7 linked regions of the Nothobranchius furzeri genome follow. The protein of the gene in region 1 binds, or shares a complex with, the protein of each later gene. Links are inferred from orthologs where the notes say so. Each region holds a gene or a part of one and is shown in the gene's direction. Other genes may lie near its edges. The genes, in order: bud13, rbm48, cript, cwc15, srrm1, gpkow and snrpf.

Region 1 (3,974 bases):
GTTGTGTGATAATCTGGGTTATGAGTCTGAGAGCTTTGACATTCAATCACTTTTATATAAAAGTGATTTGAACTGCACAATTCTTAATGGCTTAAAACTAAAGTACATTAAACTTATTGGGGGTAAAATTGGACCATTTTGCTGTTTTTATTTAAGTGTGTAAAACAGATCTAAACAAATGTTTCTACAGAGCAGCTGCTACATGAGGTTGTGATTGAGCCACCATACACCACGAGATAAAGTTACAGTCATTAATGAGGTAGCAAATAAATAATGAATACAAAAAGGTGCAACAAGGAGGCAACAAAAACTTGTTAAAATATGATAAGAACAAATAAAAAAGATGCAAAACATCAAAGTACATTGTGTGTGTGTGTGTGTGTGTGTGTGTGCGCGCGCGCGTGCGTGCGTGTGTGTGTGTGTGTGTGTCAGAGAGAGAGAGATAGACAGATCCAGGGCCTAAATAAATCATTATGATGACATCACTGAGTTCCTCAAGCTAAAGATCTTAAATCATCACTACTTTTGAGTTACTGCTGGGAACAATAACGTGTTCAGTGTCTATCGAGTAGAGTCAGTTTCTAAATGGAGCTAAAGCATGTCTCCTACAGCACTGACAGAATGGTGATGGTGATAACAAATGTCGTCTTTGTTTCTGCAAATAGAATTAAAGTAAACATTAATTCTTCTTTTTTTTCATTATAAAAAATCTAATATTGTTTTACTGTGCCATCCTTATTTTATCACACAAAATTGAATTGTATTTGTTTTAATCATTTGTATTTCCAAACAAGAATCAAATGACCACTTGTTTTTTTTTATTATTATTTGTATTATTTTTTTTAATTACTGATTTGGTTCCCTGATGAAAGACTCCTATTATCAAAATTAACACTTGTTAATGTGATGCTTTTGTGTCCAAAATGAGGGAAAAAATGTCTGTTTGTCAGTGTTAATTATTCGTTTTATTTTTCTATTTGTTTTATTTTATTTATTAGCAAAAATTAGATGGAAAATCAAGCCATAGCTCATCCATTTTTACATCAAAAAGATAAGCGGCTTGTTTAGCAATTGAGTATTTTCAGTTTTACAACAAAAGCCAGATTATGACTCTTGTGGTATTTTTTAAAAAGAAAAATATATACCATAACAAGGATGGTGGAGCGGTTTACCCCTTTTGATCCTCCGCGCTATCCGTAGTTTCGGACAACAGTCAACATGGCTGCCTCCAATGGCGTCAGTAAAGGAGCTGAGCTTTCTAAAGCTGAGTACCTCAAACGTTATCTGTCAGCCAGCGAAGATGCTAGTAAATCAAAAGGAAAGATAAAAAAGAAACGACGCAAAGTTCCTGAAAAAGGGTGAGTTTGTGAGAGAGTTCTATAAAGTTTCTTTTCACTTGTATGCTAGCTGTTTCGCTAGTCACTGTGTCAGTTATCGCTTTTTTGTTACTTGGTGACATTTATTATTTTCCTTTTATTTCAGACTTAAAATAGTAGATGATGATATAGACTGGAGACAGATGGTCACAGAACCGAAGGAGATTGAAGAGGAGGAAGAAGAAGAAGCTCCTGTGGTAAACAGCTAGCTAACGTTAGCTTTTTCGAAAGACCTTAATTCGATTCAAACGCTTTTAAAGCAAATCTCTCCCTTCAGTAATCTCTGGCAATATTAAGACAGGCGTTCAGTTTTAGACTCCATACATTGGGTTGAGTTTATGAAAGTGTATTCACAAGTTTTTAGACACTAAAACTTGATCCCAAGTGGGTCAAAATACTTAGAATGTTTTTGTGCCATTTTAATAATTTTTGTTTAAAAAGATCAAGAGGAAGATATTTTGCACTATAAACAGGGCTAAACAAGTGCAAAATTATAGTTTTTTTTCTTGCAACAAATAATAATTTAATTTGTGGAAAAAAAATCTTTTTGCGTAATCTGTCCATATAATCCAGGAGGGAAAAAAAGCTGAATTCTGACATAAACAGAGACAAAAAAACACAAACTTTTATTTATTAGAAGGTTCTAATGAGTGATGTTTCCTCAAATGTTATGGAAATGCAATATGGATAAATTTGTGTGCCCACTAAGATTGCTGAATTCATTGACGAGCGACCAGAGGAGGTGAAACAGATGGAAGTCTTCAGGACCAGCAACAGATGGAAAATAGTTGGAGGTAAACGTGAAACACAAACAAAATCTGTTCCTTTGTTTAAGAAAATCATCATCTAGTCTTCCCTGTAGCTGATGAGAACGAGGAAGATGAAACAACGGGGGAACGTGTAGAGTCTTTGGAATCTAGCAAAATTCACCAAGACTCACCGGAGAGGTCATCAAAAGACATGAGACACAATTCTCCCATCAGAAAAGCAAGACATGACTCTCCGGACACATCTCCTCCAAGGAGAGGTCGCCACGACTCTCCAGACTTGTCACCTTCAAGAGGGCATTCAGGGAAATCAGGAAAGGGCCGATATAAAGGTGAGTGATAAACGTTTTTTTCTGTGTCTCTCATGGACAGGCATTTGTTTTAGCATCCTGTTCTCCACCACTGATTGAAGCATATTCAGGGTTTTTCCTGCATTCAAATTCGGCCGCCCCAGCCTGATTTCACTCTGCCCCCAGCTATATGGGTGTTATTTTAACTGCAGTTGCAGCGTTACGCCCCTACAGGGGCGCTGTATCAGCAGCGGCGCACCGAAAAGCACTAAAACCACTGCAGACAAAGAAGATCAAAAACTGCTTTTCTCGCTAGTTACATATCTATGGTTGGTGTTATTGACATCCTGATTTTCCCCCAGGCTCTTCCATATCAGAGCAGAGCTGTACAGTGTGACGAAAAGAACTGTCTGTGCGTGTCTGTCTATGTTTAAACGTAGCACTGGTGCAACATCTTTGAATTACTATTTTCCCCAGAACTTTATTGAACAAAGTTAGTTGCGTGTAAGAAAAATGCTTTTTACCGGCGCAGTGTGGTCATCTGGATGCAGTGGAGGAAAATACAGGAACCAGCAAAGGCAGAACCGGTCCAAAGTTTGGGATCAAAAGTGCAGCTACACGCAGATTGGCTAATGCTAAAGCTAACGGTTAGCAGTCTCACGATCAAGTGGTGCACAGAAAAATATATGATGGTAAAACTAAGAAAGACTAAAATCTACAAGCGGATGAAAAGTCCCCACCATCCTGTTTATTCTGCATCCTGCAGCGCTATGGATCAGAACCGCTGCAGATACGAGTCACATTACTGCCACAATGCTGCAGTCGCCATGGTAACTCTGTCTCCCTATCCCACCCTGGGTGGGACTGCGACCGGTGAAGGCCATTGAATCGTTTCCAGGAGTCACTGTGCCCTCTAACCCACATACCTCCTTCCCCTGTCCAAACGGAGGTGACGAGCGCTGCTTATCGCGGCTGCATGCACTGATGTGTGGAGAGTCCCAGACCCTACCACCCCACCTAGTGGACACTTATGTTGTGTAATGTCTGAAGTCTGTTGCATTTCTGTCTGAGGTGTTTTTTTGCATAGCAAAGCTGCCCTCCCTGTCTCTGAAGTGCCTTTTTTCCCTCCACCTGACCCAATCCTTATGTAAACCCTCCGGGTCGCGAATGACCACAGTCACCAATTCTTGTCATGTGTCTATGCCTATGTATGTATGTCTGATCTCAGAATTGTGTGTACTGAAACTCTAATTTCCCTCTGGGATTAATAAAGTATCTTTGAATTGAATGGAACGGCTATGGCAAGCCGTTGTAGTATATAATTAACAGACGCTTCTATCTTTCAACATAATTTGAACTGGATTATTGCCAACCCGTACATAATAGACATGCCACCATTACATTTTTAGCAGCCAAAATTAAATGTTATTACCATTTCTGATACAAATGCATATTAATGAAATGCATTATATAATTATATAAGTATCTCGGGGTCTTGTTCACGAGTGAGGGTAGGAGGGATCGGGAGATCGACAGGCGGA
Region 2 (4,093 bases), on another chromosome or scaffold:
AAGGAGAGGGTGGTGAAGGTCCCACCAAAGCCTGAACAGGTGACTTTTCAGCTGCTTTTTAAAGGAGACCACTGAGTCCACTGATCTCAGGCTCAGGGGGAGAGAGGTCCACAGTCTGGGGGCCACACCAGCAAATGATCTGTCACCTTTGACCTTTAGCCTGGTGCTGCACAACCAGTTGGCTTTGATCACTGGACCTCAGGGACCTGCTGGGGGTGTAGGGACTAAGAAGATCACCAATGTAAGATGGTGCTTGTCCATGTAAGGCTCTATAGACCAGAACCAGGATCTTGAAATGAACCCTGAAGTTGACTGGCAGCCAGTGAAGCTGGAGGAGAAGCGGGGTGATGTGGGTGCGTTTGGAGGACTTGGTCAGAAGCCGAGCACAGGCGTTCTGAACCACCTGTAGACGGTTCAGGGAGGTTCTGCTCAGACACGTGAAAAGAGAGTTACAGTAGTCTAAGTGTGTCTCTCTAAGTCTCTAATGCAGTAAAATAAGGCAAACATAGATGTCAAGGAAGCAATTCACCTGAAAATCCTAAAAACCAGCAGCTGTCGTTGATTAGGTAACTGTTTGCTTTGCATGTTTATAAAATCTCAAACAAAAGTACTTTCATCTGAGCATAAGACAACCCGGCTAGTCGTTTAAAAACTGTCATCTGTTTATGCTAGCACAGACATTATACATTAAAACTAAGTCTTAACGTACAGAAATGATCTAAAAAGCAGTAAATCAACATGAAATTAGTTAGCTAACCTACCTCGTTCAAGGAAAGATGCGCTACCAACTTGGAAGGGAGGTGAAGAAAGCAGTTTTTTGTGTTGTTAAAAACGACACGAACGGCTTGAATTCCCTGGTTGCTAAACATAATTTTCGCATTGCTAGCTAGCTTAGCATACACCAGGCAGAGAGAGCAATTGGATTTATCGATGTGCTCTGTGGACGATGGACTCCTCACCAGGCAAAAGTAGTTGATCTTTTGCTTTCAAAATAAAAGAGTATTCTAACAGGCAGCGCGACGGTATTCACTGAACTGTAAGCATTTATTTTGAAAGTGTTAAACCGGAAGCGCAGACGCATTCACTGAACTAAAAGCGTTTATTTTGAAAGTGTTAAACCGGAAGTGCAGACGCATTCACTGAACTAAAAGCATTTATTTTGAAAGTGTTAAACCGGAAGCGCAGACGCATTCACTGAACTAAAAGCGTTTATTTTGAAAGTGTTAAACCGGAAGTGCAGACGCATTCACTGAACTAAAAGCATTTATTTTGAAAGTGTTAAACCGGAACAGCATTTAGAATAAGCATGGCGGTCCCTGTAAACAACAGCTCCGGTTGTTGGAAAGTTCCTGACGTTCACAAACATCACGAACAGCAGAAAGTTTGCATTTCTCGACCAAAGTATCGAGAAGGAAGAAGAGCTAAAGCGGTTAAGGTGAGACAATCTTAGAAGTTATTAATTTCAGCTAAAATGTTCATAAATTCTGTAAAGAAGACACACAAGATTTGCTTTAGCTTAATTGGTAACATCATTCTAATACTGCACTGAACGCAGGAAATGTAACTTTAGTCTTGTGAATTTCCAGGTGTACACCATTAACCTAGAGTCCCGTTTCCTGATGGTACTGGGAGTCCCAGCTATCGGTGTGATGACGGAGCTGGTCCAGCTGTGTGCCCTGTATGGTGTTGTGGAGGAGTACAGACCTCTGGACGAGTATCCGGCTGAGGAGTTTACAGAAGTCTACCTCATCAAGTTCCAGAAGCTAACCAGCGCCAGGTACGATTTATTCGCTCCTCATACTTTACTGGAAATACCTGCTTAATCGTTATCGAATGTTTCTGTTTCAGAGCAGCCAAACGCAACATGGATGAGAAAAGCTTCTACGGCGGTGTGCTGCATGTGTGTTACGTCCCAGAGTATGAGACTGTAGAAGACACCAGGCTAAAGCTACAGGACCGGAGGGGTTATGTTATGAGAGCAGCTCGGAGCAGAGGTATCGTTTAACATCATGTTTGATTTAGTTCTGACCTTTAAATGTTGCTTTTCAATGCTTTAAAACAAATCTTCTCTTACAAAGCAAAAGCGGCGCACAGCGAAGGCTCCGCATCATCGACGACTGCATCAGACATAAACGTCAGACACGATCAAACCTCTAAAAAAGAATGTGCAGAGGATGCTTCAAACCACAGCCAACATGCAGAATTCCCTCCTCTCCCATTACCTCCATGGGAGCAGCATCCCTTTGGACATAACAGTCCACATGGGATCAGCGCACAGGAGGACAAAATGGGAACTTTACATGATGCCATCATAAACTTGAAACAGCCCCAAGTGGAAAAGTTAAGCGTTAACCAAGCCTCAGAGAGAGACCACGACACAGAACACAGACTGACCTCAGATCAGGCTTCAGCATTCAGGTTTCTCCCAAGGTCCTCGCACTTGGAGATCAGGAAACGCAGAATGGAAGAGGCTCCCGAGCAGTCGGCAAGTGTTTCTGGAGGAACCGAGACCCTGATTGGACCGAAATTACCAGAACCACCTAAACTGGACATGAATGATGACTCGTTGAACACAACTGCCAGCCTGATCAGGAACACAATGAAACAGGTCATTGTTGATTCAGTACTTTAATAATTTCATAAAAAGTAAATCAGCCTTAATGAAGGATTAAAACATGTGAATCTTTTTTTTTTTTTTTTCAGGTGGGATCTGCTCCGGGTTTCAAAGCTGTTGAGAAAAAGACAAAACCACGTCGTCGGATATGATCTGGACAGGTGTCTAGATGGGAGTCTTGGAAGAAAACCGACGCTCCCACTGCTTCGGAAAACTGTTTATCTCATCGGCTGTTGTATGCTATGATACCAACCTGTATAAAAAAGGTTAAAAAAAACAGCTATTATGTAAAGAGTGCACAAATTTACATTTAGAAAGCTAAAGAAATACTAATACTGTGTTTCCTATGTGCATGTTGCCGTGGCGCGCCACTACGGAAAAATAAAAGCTGCCACACCTTCAGAAGTAAACAAAAAAAAAACTTCAAACAACGTACCTTCAGAAACATTTTTTTTGGATATACATTAAAACAATAACGAGACATATATAGTCTATATTTGTGCATGTGTACTAACCATAGTCACAGTTTAAAATAAATTTTATTGCAACAAAACTTTAAACTGCAGTTCAAAAAGATCTACCGACCGCTAAATTAGCGAGGGCGCACCGGTGTGGTGAAGTCACCTGAGGACAAAACAGGTGATGCGCTTCGCTCCGCAGCAGCAAAACGCATCGGGCACAAATAAAAGACAGGAAGCATAAAAAGGACACGAGTCGACATAAACAATCGTGTGTTATACGTGGAGACACTGAGAATGTTACTGTCGCCATGCTCAGGACACCGCTCTGGTGCGCGCCAACCATCAGGAGGTGAGCGAAGGAGAGACAAGTGGAGAGGCAGAACAAGGACCAGCATGCATAAGTGAGCATGATGAGGGAGAGAGCAGCAGGGAAGCGGTAAGAGGGAAGAAAAAAGTCAGCACAGAGAATCTGGCTGGGACCCAAAATGGACAGAAATCAAGTTCCGCCCATGGCTGTAATCAAGGTGGGAATCAAGCAATACAAATTATTTCAAGGTAAATATATTTTTACATTTTTTTTATTTAATTGTAATTAAACAATAAGCTGATTTACACACCTGCGATGGACTGGCTCTCTGTTCAGGGTGGCACCAGCCCCCAACCCCCCACCCCCGCGACCCTACATGGACAAAGCGGGTTCAGACAATGGATGGATGGATGTTTTACACACACCTGCAGGAATGTTCATCGAAAAGCATACTGCTCGTGTCTCAGAGCGACCGTCTCCGCACGTCTCTCCACCACGGTTTATCAAAATCGTAGAGGAAACCCTGAGCATGTTATTTTATCTCACACTGTCAATATTTTAACTGCTAAAACTTTCTGCATATTAGGAAAATCTTGAAATCCTTCACATGGGTGCAAATTTACCACCAAACAAATAAAATGGTCACAAAAACATTAGAACAGTACTAATTAAAGAAAAATAACAGCCCAAAATAGACTTTTACAAAAACAA
Region 3 (4,092 bases), on another chromosome or scaffold:
GGTGGGAGAGTGTATGTTTGAATGGTTGTTTGTCCTTCTATATGACTGGAGACCTGTCCAGAATGTCCCCTAGCTCTCATCTGATGATGATTAGCGCTAAAGATGAGCCGTTTAGATCATGGATGAACCGAATTAAAATGAAATGAAACTCGGATGGTTTTGTTAGCTCTCTTCCCTTCATAAAGGACATAATCCTTTGAAAACTGCATTTAGTTTAGTTTACTCAAGTTCTCTTTGCCTGATGTTGAAATTTGTTTGATCTGAACCATTTAAGTGGGACAAAAAATTAAACAAATAATATATGAAATGTGTTAAGAGACAATTACTTTTTTCACACCTAAATAAAATAGATCATAACAAGAAACGCTTACAATTTCTACTTTTTCATCACCTCACCTTACAATATCCAAAACTTACCTTCATTTTCACACATCTATTAAATTTAATTAAAAAGCAAGTTGACTGATGTCCATTTCCCTGTCCAAATAATAATAATATTAATAATAACAAACGAATACATTTTGTAAAATTCATAAGATACCTTCACATATCACATAATACATTTATATGTCGAACATAATCAACAATTCACTTTAAAAACATTATCTAGTTGTTTTGGCACCTTGTATCCCAGTGTGTGCTTTTTGGTGGGCGGTGAGATGCCGAGCAGCCAGAAGATAGCGACGCTGACACAGGTCACCGTACCGGACACCGCGTAGACCCACAGCAGGTGAGTCCCATACACTGAGAAGCCCGGGACAAACACCGCGGGGATGACCGTGGCCATGAACACCGAGGCGGTGATAATCGCGTGAGTAGACGCCATAGCTTTAATTTCATGGTCCCACATGATGAAGACGTGAACTATTTACAACAAGAACCCGATAACGATGCGGGGAAGTCAAATAAAACACCTAAAAAACGTAAGGTAACATTGGGAAACTGTCAGGTCTATGTATTTCTTTTCCGCGTTTCCGTAAACACGAAGACGTAAGAACGTCCGCTTAATTTCACAGTAAAAGTCTACTGCGCACAGACATCTTAGGTGAATGATGAAAAAACATCCGTTTCGAAACATATTATCATAGATTATCGGGTCAGTTTATTTCAATTTCAAGTGAAAAAGGTGTATGTTTTACTTGTTACTCAATCTCTGCTAATGAATACGCTTGGGTTAAATAAGGTAAAAGTGCTTGACTTTATCAAACATTTATTTTGAAGAACCTATAAGCAAATAAACGGGAAGTAGTAAGTTATAGTTCGCGTTGCGTAACTCAATTGTTTTAACCAATCACAGAAGATGTTACTCGTTAAAGCAACCAATGAAACCTGTCATTTGAAATGCCTCAGCTGACCGGACGTTTACATTAGCAAAGCAAGCTAAAGCTAACAAACGATCATTTCTACTGCGTCATTCGACACACCGCAAAGATGGTCTGTGAAAAGTGTATGTATGTCATTTGCTTCTGATTTTCAGACGTATTGTTCATTTTAAAATCTGATGAACGTTACTTTTGTCAGCGAAAGTCTCAAATGCAAACTAGAAGGCCAATAGTTTAGTTCTTATTGTATTTTCCTCCATAATTGTTTTGTTTTATATTTTAGGCGAGAAGAAACTGGGAAAAGTAATTACCCCCGACACTTGGAAGGACGGAGCACGGAATACAACAGGTGACCCGAGGAATGCGTAGTGAAATGTTTTTTTGCCATCAGTATGATAAATTGCTGTTTGTTAATTATTCTAGATATGAGACTTGTTGTCTTGTTTACAAGTTACTTTTGAAAATGTAATCATTGTTTCTATATTTTTTCACGTTACTAGCAGGTTTAGTCCTCATTTGGTTGATCACGCCATAATATAAATTAATTGGTGTTTATTTTTTTTATATTAGTATAGGTATAGTAACATTTAGATGTCCGTGTTTAACAAGTTTGTCTTCTTTCTTTGTGTCAGAGAGTGGAGGACGTAAGCTAAATGAGAACAAGATTTTGACATCCAAAAAAGCCAGGTGAGTAAAAACAATTTATAGAAAAAAATAAACTTTAATTACAACAATCTAATGAATGTAAATACAAATATGAGAAGTCAGAGAAAATATTCTAAACGCATTAATATACTTATCTTAAAATTACCTTCTTGAAATTGAACCAAAAACTGTTATTTTACTAAAGTTCAACCTTATCATATAAAACTTTCTCACCACCATATTTGCTTGGGCATACATTTTGCTGCATTGGCACAAATCACCACATGAATCATCATTAATCATCTGTCCTTAGTATTTTACTTTATGAACCACGTTTAAATCCTGATCTTCTTCATTTCTTGCAATCATAACAGTTGATTTTTACATCATAGCTGGAACACACTCTTAAGTAACTGTTGCAAACCTGCTCTGAAGAGTAAAAGACCATCAAATCTTCAGCAGTCATGAGATGATTGGTCATTATTTCCCCATTCATCCACTCTTATGCTCTCTTAGTTAAATAAAACTTAGATCGTCCATATACAAGTTAAAGGGAATAGGTGACAATATCTGGTGAACCTTATTAGTAACAGAAAAGGAGTAGCTCTCATTTGGTTTTTAGTCTGATTGTAAGATTTGTATAGAATATGAGGTGACACCTTGTTCTTAAATCTTCCTAAAAAGCCCATCATAATGAACTCTTATCTGAACTATTCCTCAGAAGAAGTCACACAACGGTTTAGCTACTGTTTTTCAATGTTGTATATTACTAATTCAAAGTGGTCAGCTGATATAACTGGTCATGTGTGTAACAATTATTTTCATCAGGTTTGACCCTTACAGCAAGACTGGCTTCGCAATCTGCAGGATCTGCAAAAGCTCAGTTCATCAGGCTGGATCTCACTACTGCCAGGGCTGCGCTTACAAGAAAGGTATGAAGTGATTGTGCTGAAGATTTAGTTTTGTGTCACAAAAACGCTACAGCATTTCTATTAGCCCTTTTACATAAAACACACACACACATGCTCTCTATTCAACACCCTGCTGAGTTTTTCACATGTAATCATGTCACCAACAACATTATCCTTTTCCTCTGAGACAAATCCATCTGCATCCTATAGGAAAACGTGACAGTAACTGGGACGAGTTGTGAAACTGCAATGTTTGTCTGTTGTTGAACAATTCAACTTGTGACTTTTCTGCTCAGATGTTTTCATTTTTCAGTGTGTCTTAGTGTCAGAATCCGGAGAAAATTACAGCCTCACATCAACAGAGACTGTACTTGCATAATCTAGAGCCATTCTCGATAGGTTTGTTTGAATACAGTGTGTTTGTACTGTATTTAGGCTGAATGATGAAATGTAAACAGGGCTTTATCTAAAAAGGCATATCTTGATGAACATTGAAGCAAACTGTCTTAGTTGCAGGAAATGAAAGAGTGGAGTGGCCATGTTTCAGATGGTTCATCAAACATGGAAGATGCTCAGTGAAACAAATCATCTTTATAGTTTGCTGAAGTTTTCTTTTTTATTATAATGATTTCAAGGCCTACGTGTCCCATTGAACCTGCTGCCTTTGGTATGTCTTCATGATGATGCCTAGGTAGACTCACAATTAGGAATAGGGCTGCACGATATTAGAAAAACCTGCGATATTCGATAACAGTGTTTAATATTGCGATATCGATATTACTCACGATAAATGAACAAATACTAAAGTATGCAGTGTTGATGTCGTCTGGCGTGTGACGTCTGCTCTGGGTTCAAAGCAAACAAAACTAATGCATGAATTCCATTACAACATAACATTTTTATTGCAAAAATATGCAGCTGCACCTGCTACTGTATTAGTAGCAAAACAATAAACTGCATGCATGCAGTTTCTCAGTGACTTTAAAACATCACCTCCACCATAAAACTTTTTCTGATGCTCCAAATGCAGAAAAACATCCCTTACCAGGGTTTTTGAATAAATAAAAAAATATCAGAAAATAAGTTTAAATGTTAAATAATAGTTAACATCACTTAAATGGAACAGCAAATTCTCTCATTGCTACTGAGCATTTTCTCCACTTATGTGGTTATGATATAAGGCTGTTGCTGCTATTGGGAAGTGAACTGTGCTG
Region 4 (3,776 bases), about 3.8 Mb from region 1:
TATGAGGTCAGATATGTAAAGGTAAGGGAAGTCAGCAATATTTTCACTTTATCTCTTCATCTTTGTATTTATCTGAATGAGGACAACTTTCAAACAAACTTTGTCAGTAGGTTAGGGTTCAAAATAGGGATGCACAATATATTGGCATTAATATCGGTATTGGTCCGATACATTAAACTGGGCCAATATTAACTGATAATTTTTCCATCTTGTTTTCATTTGTTTATCTGTTTCAGAGGGTGAGGGAGGTGATGTGTAATTGTTTAGTCATGTGACAGTGATTGCAATCATCTAACAGTGTAAACATGTGTGGTGTGTGTACATAACGTCAATTCAGCTTTAATCTTTACAAATCTGTTGATCTTAGAAGCATTAATGTCAGTATATCGGTATTGGCAAACATCGGTTATCGGCCATAACAGCGATATATCAGATATTGGTATCAGCCCCAAAGTTTCATATCGGTGCATTGCACTGAAGATTTCTGTTTATTCAACTTTTCAGGAATATTTATGAGCTTCAGGTAAAAAAAATGTCATAGCAGGAGGTCAGAAAATAATGAAATGCAAACCTGAACCATGATCGCATACAAGACTAAACTGTGACCTTCTTTCATCGAAGGATTGCGTAATTATACCAGTCACTATGGTGTCATGTTGTGAGGTAAGTGTCTAACCCACGACTTACAGAATCAGTTCACAGACTACGGTCGGTTTTAAACAATAAATTAATGGAGAAAACAAGGGAGCAGCATAAATGTAGCTGAGATCTTCAACAGGAGTCGGGTGCAGGAATCTGCAGACAGATGGAGGTTAGATCCAGCTTGAAAAGGGCAACAGGGACTTTAGAAAACTGGGGAAGCACTAAGATTGGTCTGTAATTATCATACTGTAGTAAACAAGATTTGTGGTTTTCTTAATTTGAACACTACATTTTATTGACCTTGTAAACATCCATCCATCCATCCATTGTCTGAACCCGCTTTGTCCACGTAGGGTTGCGGTGGGCTGGTGCCTATCTCCAGCGGTCAATGGGCAATCAGGCGGGATATACCCTGGACAGAAAGCCAGTCCATCGCAGGGCAACACAGAGACACACAGGACAAACAATCATGCACGCACACACACACACACACACACACACACACGCACACACACACACACACACACACACACACACACACACACCTAAGGACTGTGGGAGGAAGCCGGAGTACCCGGAGAGAACCCACGCATGCACAGGGAGAACATGCAAACTCCATGCAGAAAGATCTCAGGCTGGGAAGTGAACCCAAGGCAACAGCTCTAACCACTGCGCAGCCGACCTCGTAAACAATACAAGTAAAATAGGTTCTTGGAGTCCTGTCATGCCGGTCAAAATATGCACGATTTTTCTCCGATTGTTCCTGAACGCGTCTAGTTCCGGAAGTGACGCACCGTTGTGTACAGGAACGTTTCCTTTTCACTTTTGGAAGCAGCTTCGTAAGTGTTGTTGCTTTAAAAACGTATTTAAATTGTGTTGTTTATTTTAAGCTTTGTGTTTCAAACATGTTTACTCTCGTAATTATCTTGCATTGGGTTTTAAAAATAGGAAATGTTCCTTAAATTGCATTGTCACCCACGTTAGCCTGTTAGCAACTGATTAGCGGTGGAAGCTATCAAGCTAACTTGTGTTTTAAACAACATTTAGGAGGAAACTGATCGTTAAAGGTTTTAACTCATATTAACATTAGACTTATTATGATGTATATCTAAAATTACTTATTGTAATTTATGAATTGGTCAGTTATTTTCTGCTTTACGTTTTGCCAGAGCACGGCCATCAAAGATGACTACAGCTGCAAGACCAACATTTGAGCCGGCGAGAGGGGGTAGAGGAAAAGGAGAAGGGGATTTGAGTGCTCTTTCTAAGCAGTATTCCAGTCGGGATCTTCCAGGTCACACCAAGATCAAATACAGGTCAGAACAGTGGGTTCCAGTTTCTCAACCTTAAATATTTATTCGAACTACTTAAACTGTGTTTCTTTCATCTCAATTAAAAGGCAGCCTACCCAGGATGCCCCTGAGGAAGTGCGTGCCCGTGATTTTCGCCGAGAGCTGGAGGAGAGGGAGCGTGTAGCTGCTCGTGAGAAGACCAGAGAGAGGGGACCAAGAGGTGGATTTTTCTACTCATAATAAAGATTAGATCCAAAAAGGATGTATGCAACGGTTTCTGGCATAGTTCCTTTAATCTGTATTGTGTTGATTTTATTTCTTCAGAGCACACCACATCATCTTCTTCATCATCATCATCTTCAAAAAGGCCCAGACTGGATCAGATCCCAGCAGCCAACCTTGATGCCGATGACCCTCTCACTGATGTAAGGATTTACATTGCAATACATCCCAGACTTACACTGGATAAAGTTATTAATCCATTTTTACATTACAGGATGACGAAGACGAGAACTCAGATGAAGAAAGTGATGATGACGACACTGCAGCCCTGCTGGCTGAACTTGAAAAAATTAAGAAAGAGCGAGCTGAAGAGCAAGAACGCAAAGTAAAGAGTTTTAAGTTTGTGTTTGCTTTGGCTATAAATGAAAAGTGATGTTATAGAGGATGGCTTAACCTCCGTGTGCTTTTCTTTTGTTATTTAGGAAAGAGAGCAGAAGGCAGAGGAAGAGAGGATTCGAATGGAAAATATTTTGAGTGGAAATCCATTGATAAATTTAGCAGGACAGCAACAGCAGCAGCAGCAACAACAGCAACAGAGCCAAACTCAGAACACATTCAGAGTCAAGAGAAGGTATTTCTTATGTTCACTTGTTACAGCAAGAATGTTGGTTTTTTGTTTGTTTGCATTTGGAAAAACAAATATATTCCTTCACCACCACTAATAATTCTGATGTACTTCTAGGTGGGATGATGACGTAGTGTTCAAAAACTGCGCCAAAGGAGTGGATGAGGCGCGGAAAGAGAAACGTTTTGTCAACGACACGCTGCGCTCTGAGTTCCACAAGAAATTTATGGAGAAATATGTAAAGTAGAGGACTTTGTGTGTGTGTTTCATTTGATCTTTTTTAATTGAAAATGTTTTAGTTTCAAGCATTTTAATTGCAGCTGGCATTTATTTACAGTCTAACTAATTGGAAACCGTACTGTCTGCAGGTCAGTTGCTGTTTGCGTAAATCATGAAAGTTTGAAGCACATTTCAGAATGTGATTTCAGTATTTCTGTCATGCATTTTTCATTATTTGAATAAACATTGACTTTTTTCCCTTGAATTACTTTGCATAATTTCACAGAAATAACAGATTGTGCATTTTTTAATTTTAAAGGGTAAATTAACTTAAAAAGTTAAGTTTTATAAAAAATGCTAGGGGTGGGGTGCCTAAAATCAGCACAGAAATGGGTATGAAGAGTGTTGCTTTTCATTTAACCCTCCACTCCCTAGTGCTTTTTTTGTGCAAAAGGTAATGGGTTTTGCAAAAGTTCAAGGATGTGGCGAGGGTTAAAAGATACTTTGTAACTTGTTCATATTTTTAGATAATTTTCTTGAGCCAGTATGTGCTAAAATAACCCTTCACAGTGTTAATGAAATGCCACCCAGCCCCTATCGCCCCCTGTGGCCAAAATATCCCACTTGCAGCTTCACAGTTGCTGGTCTGATCTGTTGAACTTAGAAGAACTTGAGCTGACATACCTGGCGCTGCAGTCTAGTTCCAGCAAGTTTCCTGCATGGTTTAGATCATGAACACAGCTGATTTGTTTCATTTAGTGATGAATCACTCCTGT
Region 5 (3,517 bases), on another chromosome or scaffold:
TACAATAAATGCATCTAAAACTGAATGTTTTGGTTTTAGGTTTAAAGCAAAAACAAAGAAGAATGGATGATTCTCCACCTGCTAATGCAAAAGCACGAGCTTCTGATGGGTCTGACTCTGGTAAGTCAAATCCTCGGCCTAATGAAGCTCAGATCGTACTTCGTTTATACAGCAAGTCTCCATAAAATAGGTGCCATCACCCGAGGGTCATTACTGATCCAGATTAGCTAATCGCTTAGACTAAATTATTCCAGGTGTTTTTTAAAATGTTTTCCTCTTCCACAAAAATAACAGCTTAAAGTCCTGCTCAACGATTTTTTTAAGAATGCTTCCTTTTGTAAACTTTCCTTCCGTTACATTTAAACACAGCATAACGGGTCTTATTGGTAAGACAGAAGCATTGGTTGTCACTTTTACATGATGCTTTTGTAGAGTGGTACGAACACTGATCAGACAACCGATGCTTTGCTTTTCAGAGGAGGACAAAAATGAAAAAGGGGCAACAGCCGACTCGGTGCAGCAGAGACGTCAGTATCGCAGGCAGAATCAGCAATCTTCTTCAGGTCTGTGTCCAGCCTCGTTCGTCCTAACCCTAGATTTTGGTGTTTTTCCTTTACTGCATACAGTAAAAGGCCATTAAAAAGTTTTTATTTGTTTCATGTGGTTTCAGATTCAGGATCTTCATCATCAGAGGATGAGGGACCTAAGAGGTCAGCTACAGGGCCAGGAGCCAGAAACGGTGAAGTGAGGAGGAGGCGTAGCCGCACACCATCACCTCGTAGGCGGCATCGGGACGCCTCCCCAAGGTCAGACGCTTATCTCCTCAGTATCTGGATGATCTGACGTCTGTTAAGGTTTTATGTTTCCATTTGTTCTTGAACAAATGTTTTTATTTGTTATTATTCCTTCAGAAGAAGACGTTCTCCATCTCCTGGACGTAGACGTCGCTCTCCATCTCCCCCACGCCGCCGCAGATCTCCCTCTCCTAGACGCAGGCTAGTAACAATGATCTTTTTATATGGATTTACTGGGTAGGATTAAAAAAACTTTCATTAGTATTGATTTTCAACAATTTTTCTTTTTTTCTTTCCAGGTCTCCTTCACCGCCACCACGTCGTAGATCTATGTCCCCCAGACGTTACTCTCCTCCCATCCAGCGCCGCTACAGCCCCTCACCTTTGCCTCCAGCAAAGAGGAAGTTGTCTAGCTCACCCCTGAGACGCTCCTCTCCAGGTTCCAAGCGACGTTTCTCTAGGTCTCCTAAACGCAGAAGCTCTCCTGGTCCTAGACGGCGCTCTCCTCCTTCGTCCACATCTCCACCCCGTCACAAAAGGAGCCCCATGCCAGCCAGGCCAGGCAGGGACACACGATCCCCTGTTGCGTCTGCCAGACGCCTGTCCCCCTCACCTGCAAACCGCAGTCGGGCTGTCAGACGATCCACGAGTCCCCAGGGACGCTTTGCTTCTTCTAGTACATCTCCATCTAACCAGAGGCGACAGCCGTCCCCTTCACGCAGCAGCAAGCTCATTCGCAGGGTGTCCCGCACTCCAGAACCACACAGGAAGAGGTAAACGAGATGCAAGGAATGGTTCGACGCAATCCGTAAGTCTTTTGAAAGTTTTCTTTACACAACTTTTATTGCTTTAACAGAACTTCACCAAGTCCTAAGCAAATGAGGAGAGCATCATCCAGATCGAGGTCAGTCTCCCCCCTGCCAGCTCCGCAGAAAGGTCCAGCTCCTGCTTCCGCCTCCCCATCTCCTTCTCGCTCAGTCAGTGGGTCTCCCCCACCTCCTCCAGTCAAAAAACCCAGTAGTGCTTCAGGCAGCCCGTCTCCAAGCAAGGTTCGAATTTACTCTTAAATATGACACAACATTCTTTTTTGAAAACAAACAGTTTAAAAGTGTTTTTAAATAATGTTTGTTTTCAGATATCAGATGTTGAAGGTGGCGGAAAGAAAAAGAAGAAGAAGAAGGAAAAGAAACACAAGAAGGAGAAGAAACACAAAAAACACAAGAAACACAAGAAGGAGAAAAGCAGCGGGGGTGCTGTTCCGGGAGACGTAGCGGAGAATCGCGGTGCGGAGGAGGATGGAGAATCAAGAAAGGTAACGTTTGTTCTGTTGTTTTAGTTCATCTCTTCATCGTTTCGGTGGGACCACATGTTAAACACCAACATCGAATCCGTGTGTATTCAGGCAGCTAAACTTTAGTTAAAGGTCTGACATTCTTTTTATTCAGGACTCAGACAGTGACGCCGACGACGGCTTGGACGATCTGGAAAAACATCTTCGAGAGAAGGCCCTGCGCTCGATGAGGAAGGCCCAGATGTCTCCATCACAAATGTCATGAGAACAAGAAAGTTCTGAGTTTTCCTATTTTGATGTTTCTCATCAACTTGGTTCAGCTTTAGAATGTACAAATTGTCGATTCTTGTTTTTTTTTTTAATTGGTTTGGTACATTCTGGAGAGTTTTTCCTTCACTTGATTTGTGGGATAGATTATTATCTAAACTGTAAAGAAACTTGTGTTAATATTTTGAATTTGTTAAGCAAGAAGAACGTTACATTTCAGAGGTTTGAGTAGGGCAGGTTAATGGTATATTTGTCTGTGTACAGTAGATTCCATAGAGAAATGATAGCACGTGCATTGTCTCCGATGTGCATGAACCATTGACTGGTGAGAACGCCATCAAGTAATCTGCTGTTACTAACGCCTTTTACTAGTGGAAACCAAGTCACTACTGTGAGTCCGTCAAGGCTGTAACAAAACGTCCGGTTTTAGAGATGGGCATCATTTAACCTGCTTTTTTCTCCAACTTTGAAATTGTCTTGTTTGAAGATTAAATCTATCTTAAGGATGAAACATGTTTTAATTTTTTTCTAAACTGATTGATATGCAATTTTTGTTAAAAACCCCTGTATTGAGCTAATTTCTGTGGGACTGCTATAGTGTATGGTTTGTATTTAGTAACCTGGTTCCTGTCACGTCATCCTTTCAGAATTAAAACTTTTTTAGGATCCGTGTTTAAATTTTGTATTCATGTGGTTGTTTGTCTACCAATGGTGAATTGGTTAGCATGCAGTTGCTGATATTTTCACGTGAAGGTGCTTGATGATCATAGAATTCCAGAAACTCCGTAAACAGCTTGTGGGTTCACCTCTTCCGCGTTTGCCGGCGCATGGCCCAGCTGCAAGACACGAAGGGAGTGTGAGGCGTCTCTATGAAAAACAAATACATATATAGTTTAAGAACAACAAATGTATTATTTTGATCATTCTGAACTAATTTTCATGCTGGGGTTGTGACAGGCGCTAGTCCGCTATGAGCTGTATGCGAACTCCGACAAGTCTACGCCGGTGTTTAAATGGTGCGAACCTTTTAAAAGTACGAGTCACTAGATTAGACCCGAGGGTAAATTAGACATTGATGTGTCTACGGGGTAAAGTTAAAAGTCCCGGATTCTCATATTAGGCGTCTTTAAATGTCTGAAGTTGTTTCAACAACCAGGAAAAATCG
Region 6 (4,254 bases), on another chromosome or scaffold:
CAGCATCACCTTGACTGCAACCAGATCCGGAGCATTTCCGTCAGGGTCAGGAATCCATCACTTCCAAAACAAGCTGCCCAAACGAGCTGGGACACACCCAAAACAAACACTCTCACACATACAGAGGGCTGCAGGGCACTTGTGCACGCTCCTGTATGCACATGCATGCACACACACCTGGCTGTGAACCACAGAGTATTTGAATCAGTCTATTATTCATGGCAAAGGGGGTGCAGGTGCACTGAGCACGAGCTTCTGTTTAGTTTTCATTAAGGCAATTTGTGAGGAAGGCGATTGAAACCGATAAAGAAAATAGAAAAGCTATCAAGAAACTCTCAAAACACACACACACACACACACACACACACACACACACACACACACACACACACGAAGCAGATTCTCAGATTTCTCATATTTAGACTGAATACTGACCTGCCTTGCCGCTGACACACACACATTCTCTTCAAGCAGTTCAGCCTTTCAAAGAGGATCCGTTTGAACGCGTCTATATACATTGACCCTGCCGAGGTTAAAAAAGGAGCAGCACTTTAATAAATAACGCGACCTGTTTGGTTTGGAGCAACAGCAGGAGCTGGAGGAGGAGCGAGGAAGAGTCTGGAGTCTGGAGGAGATGAGATGAAAGGCGATCAGCCGGAGCCAGCGGAGAAAGTCAGAGCCGATGCGCACGGCTGACGGGATGTTTGGACACTAGTGATGCTCTGGGAGCTGAGGAGAGCGAGAGAGCGGGGAGAGCAGGAGAGAGAGAGAGAGAGAGGAAAATAAAACACACACACACACACACACACACTATCGGGCAGATTTGACGGCGGTCGCAGATAATTTCAGCAGCTGCTACATTGCTGCGAGCAAAAAGGAGAAAGGAGGAAAAAACAAGAAGGCGTGGATGGTTGTGACCCAAACGGGAGGTTTTAACTTGTGCAAAGAGAACAGTGCGTTTCTTACCCCCATGTTCACTCTCTGCGCCTCATCGTTTATCCATCATGCATACAGAAAAAGCCCGAATTACCCCCCAAAAAATCATACAAATGTCGGGTTCAGCAAATAAAGGTGTCGCTGAACTTCAGAGGTTGCGCAAAAGCAGGTGCGGAAATAGTAATAAGGTTGCGCTCATGCTGCTGACATGCAAATGCGGAGAAAAAAACAGCAACATTAGGCTACATGGCTAATGAAAAGGTTAACCTCACAAGTTCAGGCGCTCAGGAGGCACTGGGAGGAGGAGTTAAAAGCCCCGCCCACATTCTGCCTAAAACACACCTGCATCAGCAGCACCAGAGTCCGCTTCACTATCTGCGATTTAAAGGAGTCAGACCCACGCATTAATCCAACTCATTCAGCTCTTGTTTCTTTTTATTACAGGAGACTAAAAAGCTCCAGATAAACTATAGGGGTTTACAAGATGACCGCTTCAACGGAGCGATGTTTCAGCTTTTCAAAAATAGACCTGCAAGTCTAGACATGTTCACAATGAAAGTGTTAAACATCAGTACCTTTCTATTTTAAATCAAGTGTCAGTGTAATTACCGTCTGTTTAACTACTTTAAATGATTTGATATATTATTTAGTTACTAATAACCAACGGATTTCACAAATAAATCAGTAAATCTCGGATTGCCTGCGACCTTTAAAGAACTCTTATTATGAGGCATGATGGGATCTGTAGTCAATTGCAGCCTAGAGTGGTTATCGGGCTCGTTAACGCAACCCCATCTCCCAGAATGCACTGCGCCCTCATCGTTCTTCTTCCACAAACAATCATGGCGTCGCACGGAGACGGTTCAGGTGCCGCCGAGAACCAAGGAGATAAAAAGGCAGCGGCGGTATCGTTTGGTTTCACAAAAACTGTCAGCAAATTTAAACCCGCAGCCGGCGGCATTCCAGCCAAGACCGACGAGAAGGATTACCTGACTGGAATCGACCGAAATGAGTTACAGAGGTAGGCTAACCGCTAGCTAGAGGCTAAAGCTGTCAGTGGTTTGTAAACGGAGTGGTGACGTTTGAACTCTAAATCTGACTGACCACACTTTTACGTGGTGTGTGTAATGTATCTACCCGGGACACTTTAAAGATTTAACTTTTGTCTTCCGTGGCAGTTCAAAGCCAACCGAGAAGCCCAAAGAGCTCATCATCCCATTGATCCAGAAGAACCGCTGGCACAAACCGGACCGAGCGGACCCGAGTGGAGGCTCAGCGCGCGGCTCGGTCCAAGACAAAGACTCGGTGGAGTCTCAAGCTGTCAAAGAACTCATTGAAGGTTTGTGGTTGAAAAAGATGCAGAAGTTGGACAATGAATGGTTGCGTGTCAAAATGTGTACCCCCTCGCAAACGGAGCCCATCCTGGAAGTGTCTTCCTGCTAGACTGTAAAACAATTAAGAGCACGAGCTCCATGGCCGGTTTGTGTGTGTATTAGACAGTTTTTACTTTCCTACCCAACACTAAGAAAACCATCTTTATCAGTGACGTTGTGTGTTTCTGCTTGTAGATTCACGGAGGCAGCTGGAGCAATGGCAGAATGCAGCAGAGTCGAACAGAAGCCTGGACCTCTCCATCCCTCTGTTGATGCAGAACAAAGTCCCTGAGGGTTTTGAGGATGGAGACCATGTAAAGGTGGACCTGCGGCCTGAATCTGTAAGTGGGGACAGAACGGGCTGTAAGAGACTTAGGAGTATGCAAAGTTTACCAGACGAATGAGAAAAGATAGAAAAATTAATTATTCACAATTTTGTTGTTAGAGCAGCTTAAGTCAAGCCATCTGTTATAGTCAGTAATGCAACAAACCAGAACCTTTAGATTTATAAAACAAATGGAATAAACCTTTAAAAGGTTTAGTAAAGTACAGCAAAATTATTCTTTATCTTAATGATTAATTTAAAGCACGTGTACATGCTACTGCAGCAATCTGACACCCGGATCTACCAATATCCATCAAAAGTAGAGATGTAAGAAAATATCGATATGGCAATATATCGTGATATTTTTCCCAGCAACATTATATCGATATTCAAAAGCCGTGTATCGGAAATATCGATGTGGCAATATATCGTGATATTTTTTCCTGCGATTATTACATCGATATTCAAAAGCCGTGTATCTAATTCCTGAAAGAATTTACATGCAAACATTTGTGTATTTTCGTTTTGCGCAATTCAATCAGCACCCGCTAGTTGGCAGCAGTGTGCAGCGGGTTTTGTTTCCACCACTGAAATGTAAATCCCTCCATCATGGTTCAGATACCTCATGTTAAACATGTTACGTATCAGTTTGGACTGTTTATTGAACATTCTTACAATAAATTCAGTTAAAAAATTGCTTGTAACGTCTGACTGAATGTATCGCAATATATCGTGAAATATCGTATCGTCTCCCCTGTATCGTGATATGTATCGTATCACAAGAATTTCAAAAATACACATTCCTAATCAAAAGGCATGCTTACATCATCTTCGTCAGCTTGTTAAAGGATTGTACCACCTCACAGACGTTTGGTTGTGATGTTAGCAGCAAACCATGAAAAGTAAAGTTCGACCGATAATGGTTTTTCTGTTGCCGATACCGACGTGTAAAGGTTACGGACAGCTGATGGACGATTAGTGTTGCCAATGTTCTGTGCCGATTTTCATGTCTAGATGTTTTCCGCCCTATTTTCATGCTAATATGTCACAGGTAACACCAGTAAATGCACAAAATTTCAGAAGCTGAATCGGTTTTTGAACACTAAATTTAACTGTTAAATTTTAATCTTGTGCACTGCTCAGTGTTAAAACCAGACGTCTCACTAAAGTTAATCAAACAAATCAGGATACTGACCGAGTATTAAATGCTCAAAACTGGTAAACAAACTCTTATTTTTGGTGGAAATAATTTTTAGAGCATTAATTAAAGCAGATGCTATTCAGGAACATAAAAATACAATTAAATCCTGCAGCAGTGCCGGGCTGCCTGGGGATGTGCCTGACTTAAAACCGGCTAGGTTGTGTAATTGACAGTGAAAACTGTAAAAACCACGTTAAATCCAGAAAAAGCTGACAGGTTGAAGAAATCAGCAGTGACAATTTCATCAGTAACAAACGAATCTTTAAACTTCACTTCCTGACGGACGTGAAGGAAGGCCGTCGGTCTGAGCTCGTTATCTGTCTGAGGATGCTACGGGAAGGTTGTGATAGAATCTTCTGGACAGGTGCCTCAGTGAGGGCACGAAAACACCTGACAGTACAAAACGTCTGCTACTGGAG
Region 7 (3,982 bases), on another chromosome or scaffold:
TAATCTTTGTGACCATTTGGTGAAAATGTCATCTTTTTTATTTTATAGCCTCGTAAGACTAATTTTGCTATTTTAAAATCATATTTAATTAATAAATAATTTCCCTTTTGTTTTTGGTTGCTTTGCACGAGTTACTTTCTTGTGACTACAGTTTTTGCAACACTGCAAATTTATTTGTGTCTCTTCATCATTTTGCAGCTCTAAATACGTTTTTAAACACATGAAAAATATATTATGCTTTCTTTATCGGTTCAGTCGGTCTGTCTGTCTGTAACAGATTTTATTACGCCTCATGCCAACAGTAGTTCTCATACAACTCATGCACCCTCTGACTGGCCACTTCTCTAAACCTCGCGTACCGTCTCCATCCCATAACTGAGACCAGACTGTCTGATGGACGGGTTAATTACACGTTGGAAAGGTGAGGTCGGGAAAATACTCAGTGATGTAAAGAAACAAGTATTTCAAACATGCAGAGAGAGATCCAGAGCAATTTCATAGGAATTTTTCTGACAAAACCCAGCCATTTGCTGAATGAAGTCAGATTTCGGTTTTATTCACCATGGCAGGTTTGAACTTGCCTGACTTTTTGGTAACAGACAAACGCTTCAGAGCAGAAAACATTTTTTAAACATCGGGCTTCTTGTGCCTGGAGAAAAACAAAGCTGCAGAGAGCAAGCATGACCCAGTTATGACAGTCGTGCCAGGTTTAGCTCCTAAACCGATATGTTTTCAATCAGTCACTGATCCTGCATGACATAAATAGAGCAGGAGTTCAACTCAAGGCAGATGACATGATCTTGTTGCTGAGAATGAAAACGAGTTTGAAGAAAATTATTACTAGTTTTTCCTGGACTTAATAACTGATTTTTTTTGCCATTTTCTTTTGTGAATGTAGAGGAGATACAACTTTTTGGACTGGACTTTATTTCTGTATCGTGCCACGAACATATAGCAGATACTCTATAAACAACTGACATATCAACCCCAGAGATCGTGCATACATATTGTAGGTGTTTAATTCACGTTTCGTTTATCAGCTCACAGTTTACTGTTCAATGGGTGACTGTAAATGAGAGGAAGAGGGGAAACTTTTGGAGCTTTACACTAAATCACTTGGGTAGCAGTTCGCTCATCCGGCCACTGGGAGGCGCTGTTTAAAGCACGGAGACTCGTGCCCAGGTCGGAAAGTTGTACTTCCGGTCGGCGGTAAAGCGTGCTTCGTGGTTTGCAAACGTTATCGAGACGAACATATTTTACTTTTTTGATTTAGCTTATTAAAGCTGTTTAATTTGATATAAAATGGTGAGTAAGACGTTGTATATCTTTATCGTCTTGCGAATGAACTATCAGGATTTAATTCAGTGTATTTTTGTTGTTTAGCGTTAGCCATGTTAGCTTTTCATTCATAACTTCGACCTAGACCTTTCACACCCTCAAACACATATTAACACAAAACTGGTGTTATAAATCTTCGGTTTCTTATTCCCTTTGGGTTGTAAGCCGTCTACTCGTTCATCACTGTTAATAAACAAGAGAAAAGACCGCAGAGGCTACATCAACCGCTAGCATCCCCTCGCTTCCTGGCAAAATAAAGTCCAAACTATTTCGCTAAGATCGTTTATCAAAAGCTTCCATAAGGAAATGAATATATATTAATAATATGTCTCTCGACCTTTAGCTATTTAATCTTTATAATGTGAGCTAACTCCTCAGGCCTTTAAGTCCACGGTGTCCTGTAGCTAGCCTTAAGAGAGATGATCGGTTTAAAACAAGCGACTCAGAATGAGCTAAGAGCATCTTTGGTGTGTGCTTGCTGTGTTGAAATTCTAATTCCATCTTTTAGTTATTTTTAAAACACAGAAAGGTTTTATTTGCCTGCAACGTTTCGTTTGCGGCTGCAAACTTCGTCAGGCTGACGCTGCAGGTAAATAAAACAGCAGTAAAGCATTTAAACCTTTTTATTAAACCACCTGACCCGGATTAACCTTTGTGTTATGGGAGAACATATTAAAATTTAATAGTGATTGAACAAAATAATGCAATTTAAAGAAAAATAACACTATTAGGATTTAACAGCTTGTTTTATTACACAGATCAGTTGCGCTGATTCATTAAACGTTTTTTATGAATAAAATTAGATTGGTTAAACAGCTGTTTGGCCATTAAGTAATTCATTAGTAAAGTCAATAAAAATGATTTACTTTGCAGTAGATTTAAAGTTTGGATTCTACGCAAAAACGTTTAATTGAATCCGGATTTCCTTCATGTTGGAGTGAGGAGTATCTGTGTTGTAGGACGGACGGCTGGGGGTACGCTGCTGTTCAGCAGCGTTACAAATTCATGAAATGTAGTCGTTAAATGCATTTAATTTTCTTCAGTAGTGTGGGATGTAATGGCTTTGCTGACCTCTGTTCTTCTTCTACAGAGTTTACCTCTGAACCCGAAGCCTTTCCTGAACGGCCTGACGGGAAAACCTGTGATGGTGAAGCTGAAGTGGGGTATGGAGTATAAAGGCTACTTGGTGTCTGTGGATGGATACATGAACATGCAGGTGGGTGCCGTTTCTCCTCCTAACAACCAAACCACAGAATCTTCTCACATGGAAAAATAAACCATTTAATTATTTGTATACCTGCTCAGGATTTGCTACTGCTTGATGATTTTATTGTGTGGTTTTATCTGTGTCAGACTTCTTTATTATCATAAATTTGGTTAAGCCAAATCAAAATAAATGATAAAATTAAATTTGTACCCCAGGAAAATTCAGCTCTTTAGACCCATCATCCTGCTTGTTTTCTATGTTTCTTTGCTTCAACACACCTGATTTGAGTCATTAGGCGAATAATGAGCTGCTTCAGAAGAATTAAGCTATTGAATCAGGTGTGTTGGAGCAGGTAAGGAACTAAAACATGCAGAACCAGGGCTCACTGATGTTCTTTAATCAGTTCAACTTCAGATCATAGTCAGACTGCTGAAAGGTGTTTATCTTCGTGTCCAGCAGGGGGCGTTGTTTGATCAGTTTGAGGGAATTTTTGCTAAAGAGACTGAAGTGAATAAAGTCATGGCTCCAAAATGTCTAAGGAAACTTCATGTAATTATAATTTTACTTATTAATATTAACAAAGCAGCCTATTTATCCTTCAGCAGCAGTAAAATACAAATGTTCCCAAAGCAGGGTGTGTTTTCAAATGTTTGCATGTATATTTGGGAACAATATCTAGGATATGCACCCAGTTGTCAGCGAAATGCAAATCAGTTCAACAGCAGTTGATGAAGTTCTAACAGCTTTTTAAAAGTCTAATCCATAAACCTCCACTGGAAAGAATATAGATGCAGGAATTAGGCCTGCAGCTATCGAATATTTTTGTAATCGAGTACTCTATCAAATCTTTTATCGATTAATCGAGTACTCTATCAAATCTTTTATCGATTAATCGAGTACTCTAATAAATGACCCTTTTGTGTTTGTAAACCATTATATCAAATAGCATGTTATAAAATATGAAAGACCTCTTAAAATGAGTACGCTATTGCCAGTTATTCTTCAAGTTTTATTCAAAATCAGTTTGCAAAACTTCAGCACTTCAACTTTACTTCACAGTAAACAAATGCCTGTGCAAAAAATAAGTAAACAACCTGAGCTAATTTCCCCCGGTGTGAGAATCTACGAGCCTGCAAGCCAGACAAAAACTAGGATAACTGTTGAAGTAGCGCTGCGAGTGGCTGCGGCCCAAACAGAACCAGAACCGCTCACGGCGCATGCGCAATCATGGCTCGCCAGCTGTTTCCCTATTAACACACGTCCGTTTTAATTTCTACACTTTATTTTCTCACACAATAACAAGGATTGTCGAGAAAGCATGTTTGCCGTGGTTTTGTCGAATTATACTGATCACAAAACATTTATTTACTTTCGTTTTCCTCTCATAAATACCCGCGTCCTCCTGCAGCAACCCCGAGGGACAACAGACGTCAATAA

The links.
Region 2: bud13 (region 1) and rbm48 share a complex: the UniProt entries of both Homo sapiens proteins name them as parts of the minor spliceosome. The link is inferred for Nothobranchius furzeri from reciprocal best matches to the Homo sapiens genes BUD13 and RBM48.
Region 3: bud13 (region 1) and cript share a complex: the UniProt entries of both Homo sapiens proteins name them as parts of the minor spliceosome. The link is inferred for Nothobranchius furzeri from reciprocal best matches to the Homo sapiens genes BUD13 and CRIPT.
Region 4: bud13 (region 1) and cwc15 share a complex: the UniProt entries of both Homo sapiens proteins name them as parts of the minor spliceosome. The link is inferred for Nothobranchius furzeri from reciprocal best matches to the Homo sapiens genes BUD13 and CWC15.
Region 5: bud13 (region 1) and srrm1 share a complex: the UniProt entries of both Homo sapiens proteins name them as parts of the minor spliceosome. The link is inferred for Nothobranchius furzeri from reciprocal best matches to the Homo sapiens genes BUD13 and SRRM1.
Region 6: bud13 (region 1) and gpkow share a complex: the UniProt entries of both Homo sapiens proteins name them as parts of the minor spliceosome. The link is inferred for Nothobranchius furzeri from reciprocal best matches to the Homo sapiens genes BUD13 and GPKOW.
Region 7: bud13 (region 1) and snrpf share a complex: the UniProt entries of both Homo sapiens proteins name them as parts of the minor spliceosome. The link is inferred for Nothobranchius furzeri from reciprocal best matches to the Homo sapiens genes BUD13 and SNRPF.

Annotation. Positions count from the first base shown.
Region 1 is NC_091750.1:44,767,950-44,771,923, reverse strand, and holds the start of bud13 (BUD13 homolog), read left to right. Parts: upstream 1-1,174; 5' UTR 1,175-1,218; coding exon 1,219-1,358; intron 1,359-1,482; coding exon 1,483-1,573; intron 1,574-2,085; coding exon 2,086-2,170; intron 2,171-2,238; coding exon 2,239-2,475; intron 2,476-3,974. UniProt on the Homo sapiens protein: Involved in pre-mRNA splicing as component of the activated spliceosome. As a component of the minor spliceosome, involved in the splicing of U12-type introns in pre-mRNAs.
Region 2 is NC_091759.1:22,195,919-22,200,011, forward strand, and holds rbm48 (RNA-binding protein 48), read left to right. Parts: upstream 1-1,291; 5' UTR 1,292-1,306; coding exon 1,307-1,435; intron 1,436-1,586; coding exon 1,587-1,777; intron 1,778-1,848; coding exon 1,849-1,994; intron 1,995-2,078; coding exon 2,079-2,608; intron 2,609-2,703; coding exon 2,704-2,766; 3' UTR 2,767-3,689; downstream 3,690-4,093. Other genes in the region: peroxisomal ATPase PEX1, read right to left, coding at 762-869. UniProt on the Homo sapiens protein: As a component of the minor spliceosome, involved in the splicing of U12-type introns in pre-mRNAs.
Region 3 is NC_091756.1:43,772,587-43,776,678, reverse strand, and holds the start of cript (cysteine-rich PDZ-binding protein), read left to right. Parts: upstream 1-1,290; 5' UTR 1,291-1,431; coding exon 1,432-1,447; intron 1,448-1,605; coding exon 1,606-1,671; intron 1,672-1,954; coding exon 1,955-2,009; intron 2,010-2,795; coding exon 2,796-2,899; intron 2,900-4,092. Other genes in the region: pigf (phosphatidylinositol-glycan biosynthesis class F protein), read right to left, coding at 623-850. UniProt on the Homo sapiens protein: As a component of the minor spliceosome, involved in the splicing of U12-type introns in pre-mRNAs. Involved in the cytoskeletal anchoring of DLG4 in excitatory synapses.
Region 4 is NC_091750.1:48,553,427-48,557,202, forward strand, and holds cwc15 (protein CWC15 homolog), read left to right. Parts: upstream 1-1,330; 5' UTR 1,331-1,481; intron 1,482-1,566; exon of another isoform or gene 1,567-1,709; intron 1,710-1,811; 5' UTR 1,812-1,827; coding exon 1,828-1,958; intron 1,959-2,041; coding exon 2,042-2,154; intron 2,155-2,258; coding exon 2,259-2,359; intron 2,360-2,430; coding exon 2,431-2,541; intron 2,542-2,638; coding exon 2,639-2,787; intron 2,788-2,898; coding exon 2,899-3,028; 3' UTR 3,029-3,265; downstream 3,266-3,776. UniProt on the Homo sapiens protein: Involved in pre-mRNA splicing as component of the spliceosome. Component of the PRP19-CDC5L complex that forms an integral part of the spliceosome and is required for activating pre-mRNA splicing.
Region 5 is NC_091758.1:35,720,277-35,723,793, reverse strand, and holds the end of srrm1 (serine/arginine repetitive matrix protein 1), read left to right. Parts: intron 1-39; coding exon 40-120; intron 121-476; coding exon 477-563; intron 564-670; coding exon 671-806; intron 807-911; coding exon 912-995; intron 996-1,093; coding exon 1,094-1,567; intron 1,568-1,650; coding exon 1,651-1,843; intron 1,844-1,929; coding exon 1,930-2,106; intron 2,107-2,217; coding exon of another isoform or gene 2,218-2,223; exon of another isoform or gene 2,224-2,239; coding exon 2,240-2,350; 3' UTR 2,351-3,030; downstream 3,031-3,517. UniProt on the Homo sapiens protein: Part of pre- and post-splicing multiprotein mRNP complexes. As a component of the minor spliceosome, involved in the splicing of U12-type introns in pre-mRNAs. Involved in numerous pre-mRNA processing events.
Region 6 is NC_091755.1:41,971,935-41,976,188, reverse strand, and holds the start of gpkow (G-patch domain and KOW motifs-containing protein), read left to right. Parts: upstream 1-1,450; 5' UTR 1,451-1,661; coding exon 1,662-1,957; intron 1,958-2,114; coding exon 2,115-2,275; intron 2,276-2,504; coding exon 2,505-2,650; intron 2,651-4,254. Other genes in the region: membrane-associated guanylate kinase, WW and PDZ domain-containing protein 3, read right to left, coding at 436-518. UniProt on the Homo sapiens protein: RNA-binding protein involved in pre-mRNA splicing. As a component of the minor spliceosome, involved in the splicing of U12-type introns in pre-mRNAs.
Region 7 is NC_091741.1:34,923,115-34,927,096, reverse strand, and holds the start of snrpf (small nuclear ribonucleoprotein F), read left to right. Parts: upstream 1-1,165; 5' UTR 1,166-1,302; coding exon 1,303-1,305; intron 1,306-2,428; coding exon 2,429-2,554; intron 2,555-3,982. UniProt on the Homo sapiens protein: Plays a role in pre-mRNA splicing as a core component of the spliceosomal U1, U2, U4 and U5 small nuclear ribonucleoproteins (snRNPs), the building blocks of the spliceosome.